Linked DNA regions of Caenorhabditis elegans. The main gene of each other region encodes a partner of the protein of the gene in region 2 in a complex. Each region holds a gene or a part of one and is shown on either strand. Other genes may lie near its edges.

Region 1 (8,215 bases), on a different chromosome or scaffold from region 2:
CAATTTTCTTAAATTCGGCACATTTCAACATACAGAGAGTTCCGGCGGTTTCCAATAACCATCATTCTGAATATACTTTCTCTTCCATTCCCGTCGACAATTCTCAGAATCCTCCAAGTGCACAGTACATTTTAATGAACAATTCAAAGGAAAGAAATCGTCATTAAAATCGATAGTAATCTCATGTCCATATGGAATGAAGTCTCTTGCTTTGATAATTATATGGAATTCTGTATTGTTTCTTTCATAACTAAGATAACTATTCGGAAAGCAGCTTCTTCGGACAAATCTTCCAGGATTATTTCCAGTCCCTCGAGCATCCAAACAGACACATCCGTATGTGAATAGAAAGTTCACATTTCGAGAATCTTCTTGAAGTTCATGATGAAATGCCAATAATCCTCGAATCCTCACAATTGGCTCGTCCGGCTCGATGTCTAGATTTGAGACGAGAGCTCTGTTGATTAAATAGGATTTCGAAATTTCGATACTGCGACACTTTTTTCCGAAACTTCGAACTTCTGTGATGGGGAATAGTGTCGGAAGCAGCTCCTCGACGTTTTTCGAAATGATTGTTGATGATTTGTTTTTCGGGTTCATTATAATGCGATCTGAATAAATTTCAAATTAATTTTGGCAATGAAAATATGGATTAAAATAGAAATAAGCCTGCAAGCATAGAGGAAACCAGATTTTCGGTTTTTTTTTTCAGAAAAATGACAAAAATTAAGCGCAGGAATGAAAATAGATGAAAAAAAACCGTTTCTTCGAACATTTGTAGAATTTGTGTTGGTTTTTTTTAAAAGGATAATGCGAAATTTTGGAGTTATATGCACTTCACTGAAAAACGGATAGTTCTAATGGGAAGGAAAATTCTTATTCGTGAAGTTATTGGGCCCATTTTCTTCAATTTGCTCGATGATTTAAGAGGCACTGAAGAAAATGCGAGGAAATTATTTTTTTTAATTGTCTGACTCTACGGATTTTTTTTTAATATCCACTATTTTTTCGGGATTTTTTTTTTGATAATTCTCTGTTTTGAACAAGATTTTATAACACAGAAACATAGGAAAATGCCGAACTTTAGCTCTGAAAACTATTAAAAGTTATTTTTATCATGAAGTACAATTTTTCACGGAGAAACCCGACACAAATAAAAGTTTTACGTGATGTTCAACGTTTAATATAAATTTTCAAACAAATAAATCGAATATTGGCCAAAAAAACTAAAGAAAACAGAGTAAAAAGTTCAAAAATAAGATTGCAATTGTTGAAAAACAATGAAAACAATTGCTCGTAAAGTTATGGCGAAGTACGCAAAAGCCTCTGCGTACTTCGCAATCTACCGTAGTCATCAATTAATTTTTTTGTCAGTCGCGCGCGACAACATGTCGTGCCGTGCCGAGAAATACTGCATAGGATATAAAAACAAAGAAACGTTAAGTGATAGCTGAAAATATCAGTTTGATTTAAATGGCTACAAGGTTATTCCTTGACACAAAAAATATCCCGTAGGGAAAACTACAGTAATTCTTTAACATCTTTAAATTTCGATTTAAATTTCGGAAACATTGATTTATCGATTGAATATTGAAATTAAGCCGAAAATTAAAAACTAATACGAGGAAACGAAGAAAAATGAATATCGATGTCACTATTCGAAAAGAAAATCATTTCAAAAATCCGTAAATCGACTAAAGCGCTACAGTAGTCATTTTAAGTATTAATATAGTTCTCGCTACGAGATATTTTGCGCACTATGCATTCTCAGAGTTTTGTGTTCCCGTATACACAGTGCTCAAATTCTTCGTCCAAAAAATTTCTGAGCTTATTTCAAGTTTGATCCAACTCTTGTTAATGTCTTATATAACTTTAAAACGATTCAAAAAACGATTAGGTCAAAAAGTTTGATTTTTAACGCCGCCAAAAAAATTTGCATACGCTTTATAAGCAACTTTTGTACCAAGTTTATATTTCTTTTGAGCCAGACTTGGACAAGAAGTTAGCATTTTGTGTCAGCGCATATTGAAATTTCACTACCATTTCTAATATACTGTAAAGGATAGTTACTTTTGTGGAAAATCTGAACTTTTATCAATTGCACCATAAAAGACGAGGTTACCAAGTGTTCACAGTATGAACTTCACACGTGGTGTTAGAGTGTCCCATTGATCTACGTAGTTCACATTGTTCACAAATGTTCACATTATCCAGATATTCTAATTCAGAAACTAGTATACACCTTTCTCCATTTCATTGCACTTCTCCATTCATACCCAACTACCCGTGATATCCTATACTTTTACTCTCTCTCTCTCATGTCCAATGTCCCTTCAGAAGCTGCTTCCTGGCATCTTCCTCCTCCTTCTTCTGCCAAATCTTTCTGCCAGCCGGGGGACGGGACTCTTTGTGTAATGTTGTCTTCTTCTTTTCCTTCATCTACAGCAGCATCGCCTACTGTCATTCCTTCCCATTCCCGCGTAGCCGCCTGCCGAGTGTCCTTCAACTCTCCGTCTCTTCTACAACTGTTCACTCTCTCTCGCTCTCTCATTGCATTTTGGAACATACAGATAGGGAGTCAGAGAGATAGAGAGTGAGAAAAGAAGCGGAGAGACGGTGTTGCTGTGAGTCAGAGACGAAGAGTGTGTACTGCTCCGGCCGTCCGTTTGTTCGTCCGCATCGGCAGTCTTTTCTCTCATTCTCTCATTCTTCAATGTTCTCTAGCCTCTTTTTTCGTTTATTTTATTCTGTATACACGTTCCTCTCTACCTGATATTCTCCCACACATAGCTTTTTTATTGATTTGTTGATTGTTGTTAAGCGGTTTTTTTTGTTTTCTATTCTATCTACCGTGGACGGAGAAAATACACTGTTTCTATAATTTGCTAATCTTTCCAACAACTAAAATATCTCAGTGGTTCTACCTAAATCACTTCAAACATGGCACATCTTGTTGAAGGAACCTCGATTATTGATGGAAAATGGCAATTGCCAATTTTGGTCACCGATTTGAATATTCAAAGGTGAGGATTTAAAATTATATATTTAGAAAATATTAACTTTCAATAGTACTGCATGTTTAGCAGTTGTTCTTAAATAACTGCAATTGCAGGAAGTTATAGAAAAAGATTCAATGCACATTTTCTGAATTCAAGTCATTTTGTCAGAATAAGTGATAATTGAGTTATTCTCGGATTGAGGTTAAGCCTAAACCAATCCTAGGCCCAAGCCTAAGTCTAAGTCTACGACTAACTATAAGAATAAGCCTAAGTCTACGCCGAAGCCTAGCCTAAGTTTAAGCTTAAGCTTAAGTTTAAGCCTTACCCTAAACCCTAGCCTAAATTTTCAGAAGATTCCGGTTAAATTTTTTTCCAAACATGAATGAGACATTTTCAAACTCAGAGTCTTCCAATTTCCAATAAATGTATTTATTTCTTCCAGAAGCATCTCTGTCCTTGGAAATCTTAATGTGGGAGGACTCATGCTCGAACTTGTTAGCGAATGCGGTGAGTTTTTTTTTCGAATCTTATCACCTCGGTCAAGATCTCAAAGATCTCAATAGACCATGATTTCTCTCTTTTCTACTCAATATAATCTGTTAGATATATCTGCCACTGTGTGCGCCTACGCGTTTGTTACAACGAAAAGATACGTGGTGTGTGCACCATTACGAAATGATGTTCAATATCAGTAAAAATTGAAGGCATGGGAAAATGTTGAAATCTGCTGGAAAAAAATGTTCTGGAAAGATAGGGAACACTTTTGGAAACACATCGTAACGGAGCCCTTGAAGAGTGCGCCAAGTGAAAAATTTCTCGTACAATTCTTTCAAGTTTGCTGAAAATTCGTATTTTGAATAAAACAGTTTAATTAAAAAGTTAATTTTTGAGAGATCTTCACGAAATTTTTTAGGGACTGTGAGCTCCGAAATAGTTGACAAGAAGTCCTCTATACATTTTGAAACATCATAGAAACTATGCGGAACCTATCAAATATTTATGGGCTCTTCTCATCTCCTACCAGTTGCTCTTCTCTTTCTTCTTTTTCTTTTCATCCTAACCCCTGTTAATGTTGACTATTCGAGTGCACGCGTGCGCATCTACATAAGCTGATTGTTTCGGATGGGACATTCGCTGTTGGGTACATAAAGTTTAGAGGCTTTCCTTGCAGAGATATAAGAGCACACAATGATAGGGGGTCCCAGGAGAGAGTATCAAAACTTGAGAAGCAACTGGCATTCATCATGACCAAGAGCAGAAAGGGCGCATAGGAGAGGCGCATAAAAACGTTTTGGAATTAAGTTTTCGCGCGATTTTTAGAACTTGCAGAAGCTGAAGGGATGAAGATTTTCTGCATTAGGGTATAACAATTTGTGTGCTCAATGTGTTTAATTTCCAAGTTCAAAATGTAATCATTTGGGCTTCAGCTGAACAAACAATTTACAAAACAGCTGTATTGAAACAAGAATCTAAAAAACTCCAAATATTTCTATTTTTCCAGATGTTGAACGAGATTGGTCTGATCATGCTCTGTGGTGGCCGGAGAAGCGGCGATGGCTTCAACATACTCGATCGACTCTTGACCAGAATGGAATTACAGCTGAAACACAATTGGAGTTCACACCAATGCATAAAGAAGCAAGAATTCAGTTACCAGATATGCAAATGATTGATGCGAGAGTTGATTTCTCGGTAAATTCATTCAAAGCAACAAAGAAATTGTGCCGTGATTTGGGTATTCGATATTCAGAGGAATTGTCTTTGAAGAGGTAAGTAGGAATTGGGAAGTTTTTGATGTTTTATTTTTAATTTAAATAAGAATGGAGTTGTGAAATTCCTTAGTTGGTTGAACGAGGATTGAAGATCCTTGGGAATCTTAAGCAACTAGGGAAAATCTATGCCTGATCGAAATCCTGCCCCAAAAGTTTGAGCAAGGTCAAAAGTTAACTACTACCGAGCATGTGAAATAACCCAATAATTCAAAATCATATAATTTAAAATATTACAGATATATTCCACCAGAGGATCTTCGACGTGGAACATCTGACGCCGACAACATGAACGGTCCACTCTCAATGCGTCCAGGAGAAGAATCAGTTGGACCAATGACTCTCCGTAAAGCTGCTCCAATCTTTGCTTCTCAATCGAATCTTGATATGCGCCGTCGTGGTCAATCACCCGCGCTCTCCCAATCTGGACACATTTTCAATGCTCACGAAATGGGAACTCTTCCTCGCCACGGAACATTGCCACGTGGTGTCAGTCCATCGCCAGGAGCATATAACGATACGATGAGAAGAACACCAATTATGCCAAGCATCAGTTTTAGTGAAGGACTTGAAAATGAGCAATTTGATGATGCTCTTATTCATTCACCAAGACTTGCTCCAAGCCGTGATACTCCAGTATTTAGACCTCAGAACTATGTGGAAAAAGCTGCGATTAATAGAGGATGGCTTGATTCTAGCAGATCACTTATGGAACAAGGAATTTTTGAAGGAGATATTATTTTACTACGATTCAAATTTATGAATTTCTTTGATTTGAATCCAAAATATGATCCAGTGAGAATTAATCAACTTTACGAGCAAGCAAAATGGAGCATTTTACTTGATGAATTCGATCACACAGAGGAAGAAGCCACACTATTTGCTGCTCTTCAACTTCAAGCAACCCTGCAAAGAGATTCTCCTGAACCTGAAGAAAATAATAAAGATGATGTGGATATTCTTTTGGACGAGCTTGAGCAAAACCTTGACGCAGCTGCTCTTAACAGACGATCAGATCTTACACAAGTTCCCGAGTTAGCAGATTATTTGAAATATATGAAACCAAAGAAATTGGCAGCATTCAAAGGATTTAAACGGGCATTCTTCTCGTTCCGTGACTTATATTTATCATATCATCAAAGCTCCTCAGATGTCAACTCAGCTCCACTTGGACACTTCTCATTGAAGGGATGTGAAGTTAGTCAGGATGTTTCAGTTGGACAGCAGAAGTATCATATCAAATTGTTACTTCCAACTGCTGAAGGAATGATTGACTTCATTTTGAAATGCGATTCCGAGCATCAATATGCCAGGTGGATGGCTGCGTGTCGGTTAGCATCCAGAGGGAAGTCAATGGCTGATTCGTCATATCAACAGGAGGTGGAGAGCATCAAAAACTTGCTCAAGATGCAAAGTGGTAAGTTGTTGATTTTACAATTTAATAAGTGATAATGAAATTATTTTCTTCGAATGAAACAATTTTTCAGGTAATGGAAACGAAAACGGAAACAGCAACACAGCTTCGCGAAAAGCCGCCGCTGTAAAACTACCAAATGATTTCAATGTTGATGAGTACATATCGTCGAAATACGTACGACGAGCACGCAGCAAGCAACAAATTCAACAGCGAGTATCAGATGCTCATGGAAATGTTCGACAACTCACGGCAACCGAAGCGAAACTTCAATATATCCGAGCATGGCAAGCACTTCCCGAACACGGAATTCATTATTTCATTGTAAGATTCCGAAATGCTAGAAAGGCGGAATTGGTGGCTGTTGCTGTGAATAGACTTGCAAAATTGAATATGGATAATGGAGAAAGTCTGAAGACATGGAGGTTTGCAAATATGAAGAAGTGGCATGTCAACTGGGAAATTCGACATCTCAAGGTTAGTTTTTGATGAATAAAATATTTAAGATCTGGACATGATCGGAAATCGAAAAATTGCAAAATGTTGAGAACGTTTTCGAGACCTATTCATCTAAGTTTCTTGTAACAACTTTCTGATTGTTAATCTATTTTGTGATGTCTTGAAATTACGTTTTCATCTCAAAATCTTTCCTAATATGTATATCTAAACACAAAGAACAATTGGCTTTCAAAAAATCTTTGTATTGTTTCAAAAATTATAATATTGCGTTTTTGATTCAATTGTTGTTTTCTATCCATAAGTCTATTCGCCGTAACTTACTAAAAAATTCAGGTCTTTGGTAATTTAAAATCTAAATCAGATAATGTTCTCAAAGACCGAAACTTTTTCGGTAAACTTGGTGCTGACAGGAAGGTAGGCAGACTTCATGCCTATTTGCCTACATGCCAGCGTTGCACCTTGAGCGTTTTAGAAATAAATTTTTAAAATCTGTTTTGTGCCTACATAAAAGGCTTAGATAAACCCGAAAATAACCGAGAACAAACTTTTTGAAATTAATTACTTTTTTTCTTTGAGTATACTATTTTATCATCCTATCTCCCCAATTTCCAGATTCAATTCGAAGATGAGGATATCGAATTCAAGCCACTTTCCGCTGATTGCAAAGTCGTTCACGAGTTCATCGGTGGATACATTTTCCTGTCAATGCGAAGCAAAGAACATTCTCAAAATCTTGATGAAGAACTTTTCCACAAACTTACAGGAGGATGGGCTTAGATATTTAAATTTCTATAATCTTTTGCAAACCAAAGAATTTTAATTTTAGGCTCCAATTCCATCTTTTTCGTTTCAAAATTTCAATATATATATTTGTTTTCTTTCATTTTTCTTGTTTCTCATTTCCCCCCTTCCCCTCTTCCAAATAATTTTTCGTTTTAATAAGACAAGTATACCGGATCGAAAAAAAGTTTTATGTGCCTTTTCATATCTATGGATTAATAATAATTGTATGAGAAAAATTGAAAAATATTATAAAAATTGAATAATAAAAACTGATGAATAAACATTTAAAATCTTCTTCCGCGTTCCTCGAGCTTTTCGAATTTTTGTTGATTGCTGATTTCTAGTCTTCCAACGTTTCGTTCAACTTCAATCAGCAACTGATCTCGCTCTTTTTCCAGTTTTTCAAATTCTCCCATCACAATATCATTGAGTTCCTTGTATTTTTCAACTTCTTTCCTCATATTCTCAACGTTTCGCATATCTCGCTGGAATAATAATCAGGAAATTATAGTCATTTTCCATCTTTTCTGGTAGTAGGCAAACGTAGGTACAAGGCAGGCAGGCACTGTTCTGCTATCTAGCTACCTACCTAACTACCTAGGAATCCTTAATCTGTTCTATTCAACCATATAAAATCAATAGTACAAAACATATCGGCAATATAAATTTGATAGAAAAAAAGCAAATAAGTTTGTATCCCGTTATTTAAAAATTTGTTTTCAAACGGATTGAAATCATGTGAAAACATGTTCAAGAAGTATCAAGAAATTTGAAACAAAATTTTCAAGCAA
Region 2 (10,330 bases):
GAAGAGAAAAAAAGAAAGAGAGATGGTAAGAGGGAACGTAGGCGTCTGGTGTTAGAGCATCGCGGTCATCCAAGTGATCTGCCGAGTCGAAGAGCCCTCGGGAAGAGAGCCCAATAAACAGTGTGTAGCAATGCGAGAGAGTATGAGCAGGCAGAATATCAACGATGTAAAGAAGGCAACTGCTTCTTCTTCTGCTGCTCCTGCCATCTCGCATCCTCCCCCGTGTGCCGTCGTCCCGTAGAGCACTTTATCCAGTCTCTCAACTTTCCGTTTTCTCTTCTTTTTATGATTTTTGATATTGATCTCATTGAATTTTTCTACAATTTTGCATATCGAGTTGTGAAATCTCAAAAAGTGGGAACTCATTATTTAAAAAAAAAACACAATAGCTACAGTAACCGTAGCTTCGTAGATTTTTTTCTCAGGGGATTAAAGCTTTTTAAAAAATTATTTAGGAGAATCTTTTTAGAGGACTGTACAATCGAACAGTTCTCAACATAAATCGACAACATAATTTGCTCAGTTCTGAGTGAAGAAATCATACGTAAAACTTGAAGTTTTAAGGTTCTTCGTAGGCCCTTATTTACGTCTATTATTCAAACCCTTCTTGACATTTTTTTCCAATAATAATAGGCTATCCCGCTGTTTTCTGAATTAAAAAGTATCAAGTAATCATCAAATGTTTTTCAAAAATCAAATAAAATATTGTGTAAAAACCAAGCTCTTATCTGATTTCAGACAAAAATTTGGCATTTCTATACTAAATTATAAATCCATCTAAAAAATTCCAACACCCAGCTTCTTCAGTAATTTTCCTGCAAAGAGTATATTGTTCATTTTCGACACTCTGAATATTCTCTGTCTCACCGAATGTCTCACATTCTTCTTTCAACAAAAAAAATTGTTCTCGCTCGAATGCATCATTGAGAATTCACTACCAACGGCGAGACCCCTATTCTTTCTTCAAAAAGTGTGCTCCATGAGCACCTGCACCACCTGCTCTTGGGATTCTTTGATTTATTATTCCTGGATTTGGAAATGAAATTTCTGGAAATTGTTTTATTGACTAAGATCGTATAATTCGCACAATTAAGTACTTTATTATAATAGTAAAATGCTTGGTTTTAACATTGATACCTTTGTGCGTCGCCGATTTGAATTCTATAAATGTTCGACTTTCCTATGATTGCAATTCTTGACAATCAAAAAGAATGATCGGTAATAAATATTTAATTGTTTTAGGTTGTAATGAAACGGTAATGTTCACCATGTATTAGTTGAAAAGCTATTATGAAGATTATTAATCTTTATAGAAGGGATTATGATTTTTTTGTTGCTTAGTTAGTCAACGTTACTTTTCACAAATGACCCATCAATTTAAGATTCTTTTTTCAAAACCTACCTCCTAATTTAACTTCCCTTAAATCTTGTCGACATCTTTTTTTTCCAAAAATTCATTTTCCTCCTAACCACCCAATTAATTCATCCTCCCCCCGTTCCCTCAATTTATCACTTGTTCCTCTCTATTCAAAACATGACCTTTTTGTCGGAGAGGGAACAGTCACCAGTCAACCATATCTTGGATTCTACTGACAATTACTTCATGCCCACATCCCAATACTCTCTATTACATGAACTTTTCACCAATATATAAAATGTTGTTCGTATACTGATGGGCTTCAAGTAGGCGTGATTTTTAAAACACATACTACAAATATTGGAGAAAGTGCCGTATTTGTTCTATTAGTATTGGTGCAATACGTTTTTGACCACAATATTTATGTACTTGAATTAACTAGATTTCACTGTGAAAACTGAAACTTTAAAAACTTTAAAATCTGTGGCAACTTATTGTCGAATTTTGGCAGGAAGTTTCCCTGATATTCCAAGTAGGTTCAAAAATTGAATTCAATTATCAAATTTTGGTCTGGTCAGATTGAACGTCTACTATTATAATAATTTTGCAAGTTTTTCAAAATATTAGAAAATCTCTTTGGTGTTTCAAAAATAGTAACTGCATATCTACTTGATTCCAAACTAATTGCTTCTCGTGTCCCCAAATAAGTGGTGCCTCTTCCTCCGCCCCCTTCCATCCTCCCAATTTCATCCTCAATTCATGCTTCCATCAATGTCTACGTCTCTTCGTCTCTCACACTCTCTCACCATTAGACATATGTTTGATAACTATCCGGAAACTGAAGAAACTATGTGTCCCTTCCTCCCTTCTCTATTTCAAACGACTCTTGACTCATCGTATTTTTCGGAAATTCATGGGATAACTATGAGTCTCCAGATGCCAGTTTTGTTTCGGAATTTCCTTTTTGTACGTTTTTCACAAACTTCGAATTTCTGATTTTTAACTCGTAGTCCAGCCAATATTCTGAATATTTTGAGGGTTCTCCGGTAATTTTAAAGATTTTCGAATGAGTACAACTCAAAAGCTAGAGGTTCCAGCAAACAACTTTCAACAGTCAAAACATTTTGAAATAGTTCAATTGAGCATTTGAGAAAATATTGTTGTTGGCTCTCGCTCAATACACAACAAATATTGAGATTTATGCAAAATTCGAATTGCTCCTTACTTTGCTTCTTCATCAATCTTGCTCCACGTGTCACGGGTCATTTTGTTCCCCCGTTAATTTCCGTTCGCTCACTTCTCCTGTTCGTTCAATTCATTTCTTGATATGTTCATGACTCAATGTGAGTGTGTCAAATGCTCGTAGAGCTCCCTTCTCAATTATAAATGACTTGTCGTCTTCGGAGGGTCAGTTCTTTGTTTCGCAATCGCGTGTGCTCTGTTCAATTCCATTTTTCCTTCCTTCCGGTTTTTGGAAAAGACACCGATTAGGCTTCATTGATCCACATGTTAACTGAGAATTTGAAATTATCTCAGTGAAATTGGTCGCTACTTTGAATTTAATTCATTTAGACATGAAAAACGTTCCAAAATTAAAATTCAAGCAAAGTTCTTTATTTTCCCTTTCAAAAATATTTCTTGGAACTTTTGAATTTGAGATTTTGAAATTTTTTTTCTATTCAATCAACTTCTAAAATCGTTTCATCTTCCGTATACTCGTTGCAAACTTCTTTCTGATTGTTTTCAAAAAACCGAATTCCAAATTTCCAGTAGATGCGAGAGGGTAGTTTTCCGCGAAGGATCGGCTTGCTTCTAGGCTTACTGGGCCTTTTAGCCGGAGTTGCCACCTTCAACATCGACACAAAAAATGTAGTGGTTCATCACATGGCTGGTAACTACTTTGGATACTCACTCGATTTTTACCATGAGCAGAAGGGAATGCCTGTGTAAGTTATTGAATTAACTGAACAGATTTTACATTCAAAAATTTCAGCCTCGTTGTCGGTGCCCCTGAAGCTGAAAGCAATAACCCAAACCTGGCTGGAATCCGAAGACCTGGAGCAGTTTATGCTTGCTCCGTGAACCGGGCAACATGCCGAGAAGTCCACGTGGATAAAATGAAGGGAAACTTGAAGAAACTCAATGGATCACATCTTGTTCCAATTGAAGAAAAATCACATCAATTCTTTGGTGCAACTGTTCGATCAAATGATAAGCATGATAAAATTGTGGTAGGTTTATTCTGCGGAGTTTGAAAATTAAAAATTAAATTTCCAGGTGTGTGCTCCAAAATACACATATTTCTACTCAAAATTCGAAGTTATTGAGCCAGTTGGAACCTGTTTCTATGCTGAAAATGGATTTGATAATGCGGAGGAGTTTTCATCGTGCAAACAAGAACGTATGTTTTGGGGATACTTAATTGGTACTGCAGGGGTACTGTAGTTTTGGAAAAAGGAGTTCGAGAAAAGAAAGTTCTGGGAAGTTCTAGAAACTTCTGAAAATTTTGAGGAATTGCAGGAATATTTTAATAGTTTGAAAAGTTTCTGCAACCCTCAAGACACTGTTAAAAACGTCTTAAAATTTTGAGATTTTTTTGGAAAATTCTAGAAACTTCTAGAGGCTCCTGAAAAAAATCTGAAAATTGTTGAACCTTTTGGAATAGTTCAGAGTTCGAACAATTGGTAACTTTATAAAAAATTAGATGAAAAATTACAGCTGCTCGCCACGGTCGTCATCGTCTTGGATACGGTCAGTGCGGATTCTCGGCTGCAGTTCCAGGAAAGAAGAATCAAAATCGTGTTTTTATTGGAGCCCCCGGTGTGTGGTATTGGCAAGGAGCAATGTTCTCACAGAACATCAAAAATCAGACAGACCGCCCGAATACCGAGTACGGTAGCAAGGAATACGATCACGATATGATGGGATATTCTACAGCAACTGGAGATTTTGATGGAGATGGTATTGATGATATTGTTGCCGGAGTTCCACGTGGAAACGATTTGCACGGAAAATTGGTGTTATACACGTCGAAACTGAAGATGATGATCAATTTGACTGATGAGGTGTCAACTCAACATGGACAATATTGTGGAGGATCTGTTGCAGTTGCTGATGTAAATAAAGATGGGTAAGTGAGATTCACAAACACATAAAATTACAATTCTCTAAATATTCTCTGTATTAATTTCAGACGCGACGACATTATCATGGGCTGCCCATTCTACACAGATTACGGTAGCGTGAAAGACGCAAAAACACAAGAAAGAAAACCACAATACGATGTCGGAAAGGTCATTGTGATGCTTCAAACTGCTCCAGGAGTCTTTGGAAAACAGATTGCAGTTGTTGGAGATGATCAGTGGGGACGATTTGGACACGCAGTCGCAGCAGCTGGAGACTTGAATTTGGATGGTTATAATGGTAGGGATTTTGCTACTAAAAATGAACGAATTTGAATTTCTCACAGAAATTATTTTACGCGGAAATTCAAATTTAGTTTTCGTATTTTCACTTTTCTTTTTCTTAATTTAACAATTTCTTTAGACATAAAAAATCCTAGATTATCGGAAATTTGTGCGGCATTTTGAACTTTCAATCTCATTTGAACCGCTATGGAAATTTATTGCATTTTTTGTTGGAAATTTTAAATTACAAAATAGTGTTTTTCAGATGTAATTGTTGGTGCACCATATGCTGGAAAAAACAAACAAGGAGCTGTTTATGTGATCCACGGATCCAAAGATGGTGTTCGCGAACTACCAACTCAGAAGATCGAAGGAGCCAATATTGGTCATGGAAATATCAAATCATTTGGCTTCTCCCTTACTGGAAACGAAGATGTTGATGGAAATGGAATGCCAGACATTGCAGTTGGAGCATGGAAATCTGGAAATGCAGCTGTTTTACTCACAAAACCAGTTGTCACTGTCACGGGACAAACTGAACCAGAGAGTGCATTGATCAGTGTAGAAGATAAGAATTGCGATGTTGATGGAAAATTGGGAAAACAGGCATGCAAACATATTAATACATGTTTCAAATATGAAGGAAAAGGAGATACACCAAATGATTTGGAATTTGATCTTCGATTCAATCTTGATGATCATTCTCCTGAACCAAGAGCTTATTTCTTGCAAAAAGATGTGGTAGGTCACTTTTTTAAAACTAGATAAAAATTTTTAACACAATAATAATATTTCAGAAATCTGACAGAAGCATTAAAGTTGCACAAGGATCTAAAACAAGAGACCATCCATCTTCAATCGAACAACGTGTTCGTCTTGAGAAGGGACGACAAAAGTGTTTCAGACATCGATTCTTTGCTTCTTCCACAATGAAGTGAGTTTTCAGAGAAAATATTTTGATTTTCTTTCAAAGTTTTTCAACTCAAAATGACCACAACTTTTTAAATTTTTTTATCAGAAAAAATTGAGAAAATGTTTGCTCTGCTGTGAAAAAAAGTTCAAGGCTAATTTTTGAATGTAAAATAGTTCGTATGCTTTGCAAACCTTCAAATTAGAAAATAAAATGTTTTCTAAAAATCAAAAATAAAATAATTTCAGAGACAAGCTCTCCCCAATTCATTGGTCCGTCAACTACACATATGTTGAATCAAAAACCGGAAAACTTCGTGGTGATAAGCTTGAACCAGCAATTGACACAACTGTACCACTTTCATTCCAAAATAAGATTAATATTGCAAATAATTGTGGAAAAGATGATCTTTGTGTTCCTGATTTGAAGGTTACCGCTGTTGCGTAAGTTTTTTTAATTTTCAAAATGATCGATAAAAAGTGTTGAAAAAATACATTAAATATGCCATTTTTTCATTGAATATAAAAGAAAGGGAAACATTGAAAATCCTCATTACAGTAAGTTTGAAAAATTATTGAAAAAATGGGTTTGTCTCGAAATGTTTTAATCATTACTCTAATTTTAAAATTTTCAAAAAAATATAAGGAAATGAGCGAGAAAAATTGAATATAACACAAAATACAATGTAACCTAACTCGACAATTTTCAAAACATTTTTTATAATGAGACAAGTTCACAGCCATTTTTAAAATGTTTGCTTCAGGATTTTCCTGTCAAAATAATTCCACGAAGATTGTATGTTTCTTTTCTTCACGGAATCGGCGAAATTTTCAGTGAAATCATATCATTAAAATAATTATTCCTAAACCTATAAACCAAATGCCAGCAATTAAATTCTTTTAAACATATTTTTTCAGTGATCGTGAGAAATTCCTTTTGGGAACTCAAGACAATACAATGCTTATCAATGTAACAGTTCAAAATGGAGGAGAAGATTCATATGAGACAAAACTTTATTTCGATGTTCCACAAGGATTCGAATACGGTGGAATTGAAAGTGTTGGTGGAGATGGAAGCAAGTCTGCTCCAGCTTGTTCTCCAACTTCCGATGAACCAGATTCGGATGGAAAATGGACTTTTGCATGTGATCTCGGCAATCCACTTCCAGCTAACAAAGTAGTTAGTAGTGTTGTAAGAGTGACTGCTTCTTCTGATAAACCTCCACTTGCTCCAATCAGTATTAATGCTCATGTGAACAGTAGTAATGATGAAGAAGCTCATACTGTTGCTGATAATAAAGTCACATTCACTATTCCAGTTGATTTTAAGAATCAATTGAGTTTGAATGGTAGATCAAATCCCGAACAAGTCGATTTCTCAATGACGAACAAAACACGTGTAGATGCTTTCGATGACAATGAAATTGGTCCAGTTGTTTCACATCTTTATCAAATCAGTAATCGTGGTCCATCTGAGGTTGACTCAGCTACTTTGGATATCTTCTGGCCATCATTTTCCACTGAAGGAGGTCATCTTCTGTACATTATCACAGAACCAGTTGTTAATCCACCAAATAAAGGAAGATGTCGGGTCAAACAACTGCAAAATGTTAATCCATTGAATTTGAGGGTACGTTTGAATAATTTTTAAATTTCTAGACATTACTTTAAAGGTACACGCTGTTTTTCTGAGTGGGTCTTGCCACGATCTCATAGTCGTTGCAAATCCCCAATTTCTGTAGACACTGAATTTTATAACTCTGTACATTTAAAATTGCAGTGAAATACGGAAGGAACTATTTTGTTTTAGAAATAGAAGTAAGAAACTTTATCATTTTTAGGATAAAATTCAAATTTCTTGGGAAATTTTGAAGAATTGTTTTCGTCAGTTTCTGAAATGTTTAGAATCGGCGAGTTAAAAAAAAATATTGGAAACAATCGAATATGCTGAAATATCACAAAAAAAATTGATTTTCCGGTTCGGGCTGACAAACTTCACTTTTTTCAATTCAGAATCCTGAACATCTTATTTTATAAATGTTCACAAAAAATTACTGTCGCACATTAAAAACGAATTAAAATTTCAGATAACAAATGAGCATGTTCCAACTGAACCACCAGTTGCCAAGACACCAAATGAATATTCAAGAGAAGAAGATGATGAATCATATGAAGATGAAACAACAACTCAATCCCAATCAACACGTCATCAATCTACACAACATCAAACTCATCATCAATCTGGTCCAGTACATGTATACGAAAAAGACGAGGAGAAGATTCGTCAGAATACTGGAAATTGGCAATATGTTGAGGATAAAAAGAAGAAGGGAGATTATGAATATATTCCAGACGATCAGGAATATGATGGAGATGATTTTGAAGAGGAAGATGATGAAGATTTTGATAGAGCTGGAAGTAAGAGAGTTAAAAGAAATCCAACACCAAAGAAGAAGAAGAAGGGAGGAGAACACCGTGGTGAACCAAGAAGTGATAAGGCTAGATTCTCTGATCTTCGTGAAGCTGTTAAACTTTCGAAGGAAGCTGGAGGAGTTGTTGATTATAAGGGACCACTATCAAGAGCATCTGTTGATTGTAATTCATTGAGATGTACACATATTGAATGTGATATTTATGATCTTAAAGAAGACGAGTTTGTACTTGTGGAAATCTTCTCTAGATTATACACAAACACATTGGTTGATGAGAAAAATCCTGGAGGAGACATTTCATCGTTGGCTCTTGCTCGTGTCACATCTACTAAATACAATCTTCCACATAAGCCAACATTGATAACAGCAGTATCTACAAATATGAATGCAATTGCTTCTGAAGAAGGAAGAGATCTTCCTTGGTGGCTTTATCTTTTGGCTATTCTTATTGGACTTGCCATTTTGATTCTTCTTATTTTACTGCTCTGGAGGGTGAGTTTCAAATTTAATTTTCAAAAATACGATTTATTACATAACAACATAGATATTGGCTTGCAAGTTAAATTAAAGTTCTTTCGCCAACTTTCATGCTTACTTGTGACGCAGCAAAAATTATATCTTAATTTCCAATTTTGTGAAGCGGTTTCTCAAAGCCTCATTGATTTATTCGGATGGGCCTCGCCGCGAGAAAAGTTTATGGTTCAAACTCTGCCATTTTCGAAAGGTAAAAAATGATTGTCACAAAGATTAAGAAAAACTGAATTTAAAAGAAGTTGCCTACGACATTAAAGCTGTGCTCACACGCTTTCGAAAATTTCACAGCAACGTCCACGGCGAGCTTACGTCGGGGGTACTGTAGAATATAGGTAGATCAGAGCGACTACAGTATACAACCAATTTCGAAACAAATTTACAGTTTCCCTCAGAAAATAAATAATAATAATCTAATTTTCAGTGTGGTTTCTTCAAACGTAATCGTCCACCAACTGAGCATGCAGAACTCCGTGCCGACCGTCAACCAAATGCTCAATACGCTGATAGTCAATCCCGTTATACATCACAAGATCAGTACAATCAGGGACGTCACGGACAAATGCTATAATATTTTCCATTTTTTGTTCCTTATTCTTTACTATTCACATCTGCGGGTGTCTTTTTAAAATTATCATTTTGGTCCCAATTTAGTCCTCTTGTCGTGCCTTGCCCCCCAATCTTACTTTCATGTTCGATCGTTTTTCGGAATCTCCGCTCAATTTGGTGCTTTATATGTTCATATTATGTTTCTTTGTTTTCCAATTAATTACCAATACATTGACATGTTTCTAGTCGATATTTTTGATGTTTTTTCTTTTATTATCATCAATTTATTAATAAAAATTTAATAAATAAATAAATATTTAAAACGCGTCTAAAACAATAAATTTTGGAATTTCATCAAACCCGACCAACAAAAAAACGGAATAAATATTATGACAAAACTAGGTATCATTGGTTTTCTTTTTTCGAATCATCTCAGCCAATTGCTTGAATCTGACCATCACTTGTTTCTTCGTTTTGCTTCCAATTTCTTCGGAGATTCTTTCCCACCTGAAATTTAATATTTAAAACATTCCTCTGGATATTATATTATGGGGACCCAGAAATTTTACCGTCAATACCTAACGAAACCCAACGCTTGGAGGATGAGCGTTCTCAATTTCAAAATACCCATTTCTAGTTTCCAAGCTAACCTTTCATCAGTTCCCTTTGGATATTTCTGCAATGCGGTTTCAAAAGCCTTCTGCTCAGCTTGACTCCAATCATCTTCTGATTTCTCTTCAACTGGTACTGATTGTTGAATAGTTGTCATCAACAATTTCGTATAATCCTCTTGCTTCATCTGTTTCATTTTTCCAGCCATTGCAATAACGTCTTCTGCACTTCTATTCAAAACTCGACCCATTTGTTCCCAACGATTCGGTGTTCCAGCCGGGTATTTTTCAGTGCTCAGTCGAACCAGACTAGCTAATTCATCAGGCGTCCATGTTGCTCCAGATTGTTCTGAAATTAAAAGATCATTGAGTAGAGTTCAGAAACCTTTTTTCTGATAAATTAACTTACTCTGTGCTACAACTTCATTTTCTGCTGCATACTTTTTCTCCATCTCAGGATCATTTGTGGAAACTGCTTTCATACCTTGAGCCACTTCAAATTTAAACTCTAGTTGCTGGGGTGCCGCTGCTGCT

Evidence for each region. The genes of interacting proteins can lie anywhere in the genome.
Region 1: pat-2 (region 2) and unc-112 share a complex: the UniProt entries of both Caenorhabditis elegans proteins name them as parts of the integrin containing attachment complex.

What each region holds. Positions count from the first base shown.
Region 1 is NC_003283.11:14,691,355-14,699,569, reverse strand, and holds unc-112 (Protein unc-112), read left to right. Parts: upstream 1-2,915; 5' UTR 2,916-2,940; coding exon 2,941-3,023; intron 3,024-3,441; coding exon 3,442-3,506; intron 3,507-4,500; coding exon 4,501-4,768; intron 4,769-5,007; coding exon 5,008-6,185; intron 6,186-6,255; coding exon 6,256-6,659; intron 6,660-7,253; coding exon 7,254-7,418; 3' UTR 7,419-7,708; downstream 7,709-8,215. Other genes in the region: set-5 (SET domain-containing protein), read right to left, coding at 34-600; gasr-8 (uncharacterized protein), read right to left, coding at 7,709-7,909. UniProt on the Caenorhabditis elegans protein: Component of an integrin containing attachment complex, which is required for muscle development and maintenance. Probable regulator of cell-extracellular matrix adhesion. Required during initial muscle assembly to form dense bodies and M-lines.
Region 2 is NC_003281.10:8,815,772-8,826,101, forward strand, and holds pat-2 (Integrin alpha pat-2), read left to right. Parts: upstream 1-3,127; 5' UTR 3,128-3,130; coding exon 3,131-3,303; intron 3,304-3,350; coding exon 3,351-3,588; intron 3,589-3,634; coding exon 3,635-3,758; intron 3,759-4,075; coding exon 4,076-4,487; intron 4,488-4,550; coding exon 4,551-4,780; intron 4,781-5,029; coding exon 5,030-5,505; intron 5,506-5,561; coding exon 5,562-5,698; intron 5,699-5,790; exon of another isoform or gene 5,791-5,882; intron 5,883-5,922; coding exon 5,923-6,117; intron 6,118-6,591; coding exon 6,592-7,303; intron 7,304-7,760; coding exon 7,761-8,597; intron 8,598-9,060; coding exon 9,061-9,207; 3' UTR 9,208-9,503; downstream 9,504-10,330. Other genes in the region: F54F2.9 (DnaJ homolog subfamily C member 1), read right to left, coding at 9,584-9,692, 9,836-10,145, 10,206-10,330. UniProt on the Caenorhabditis elegans protein: Required for muscle development probably through the regulation of the actin-myosin cytoskeleton. Component of an integrin containing attachment complex, which is required for muscle maintenance.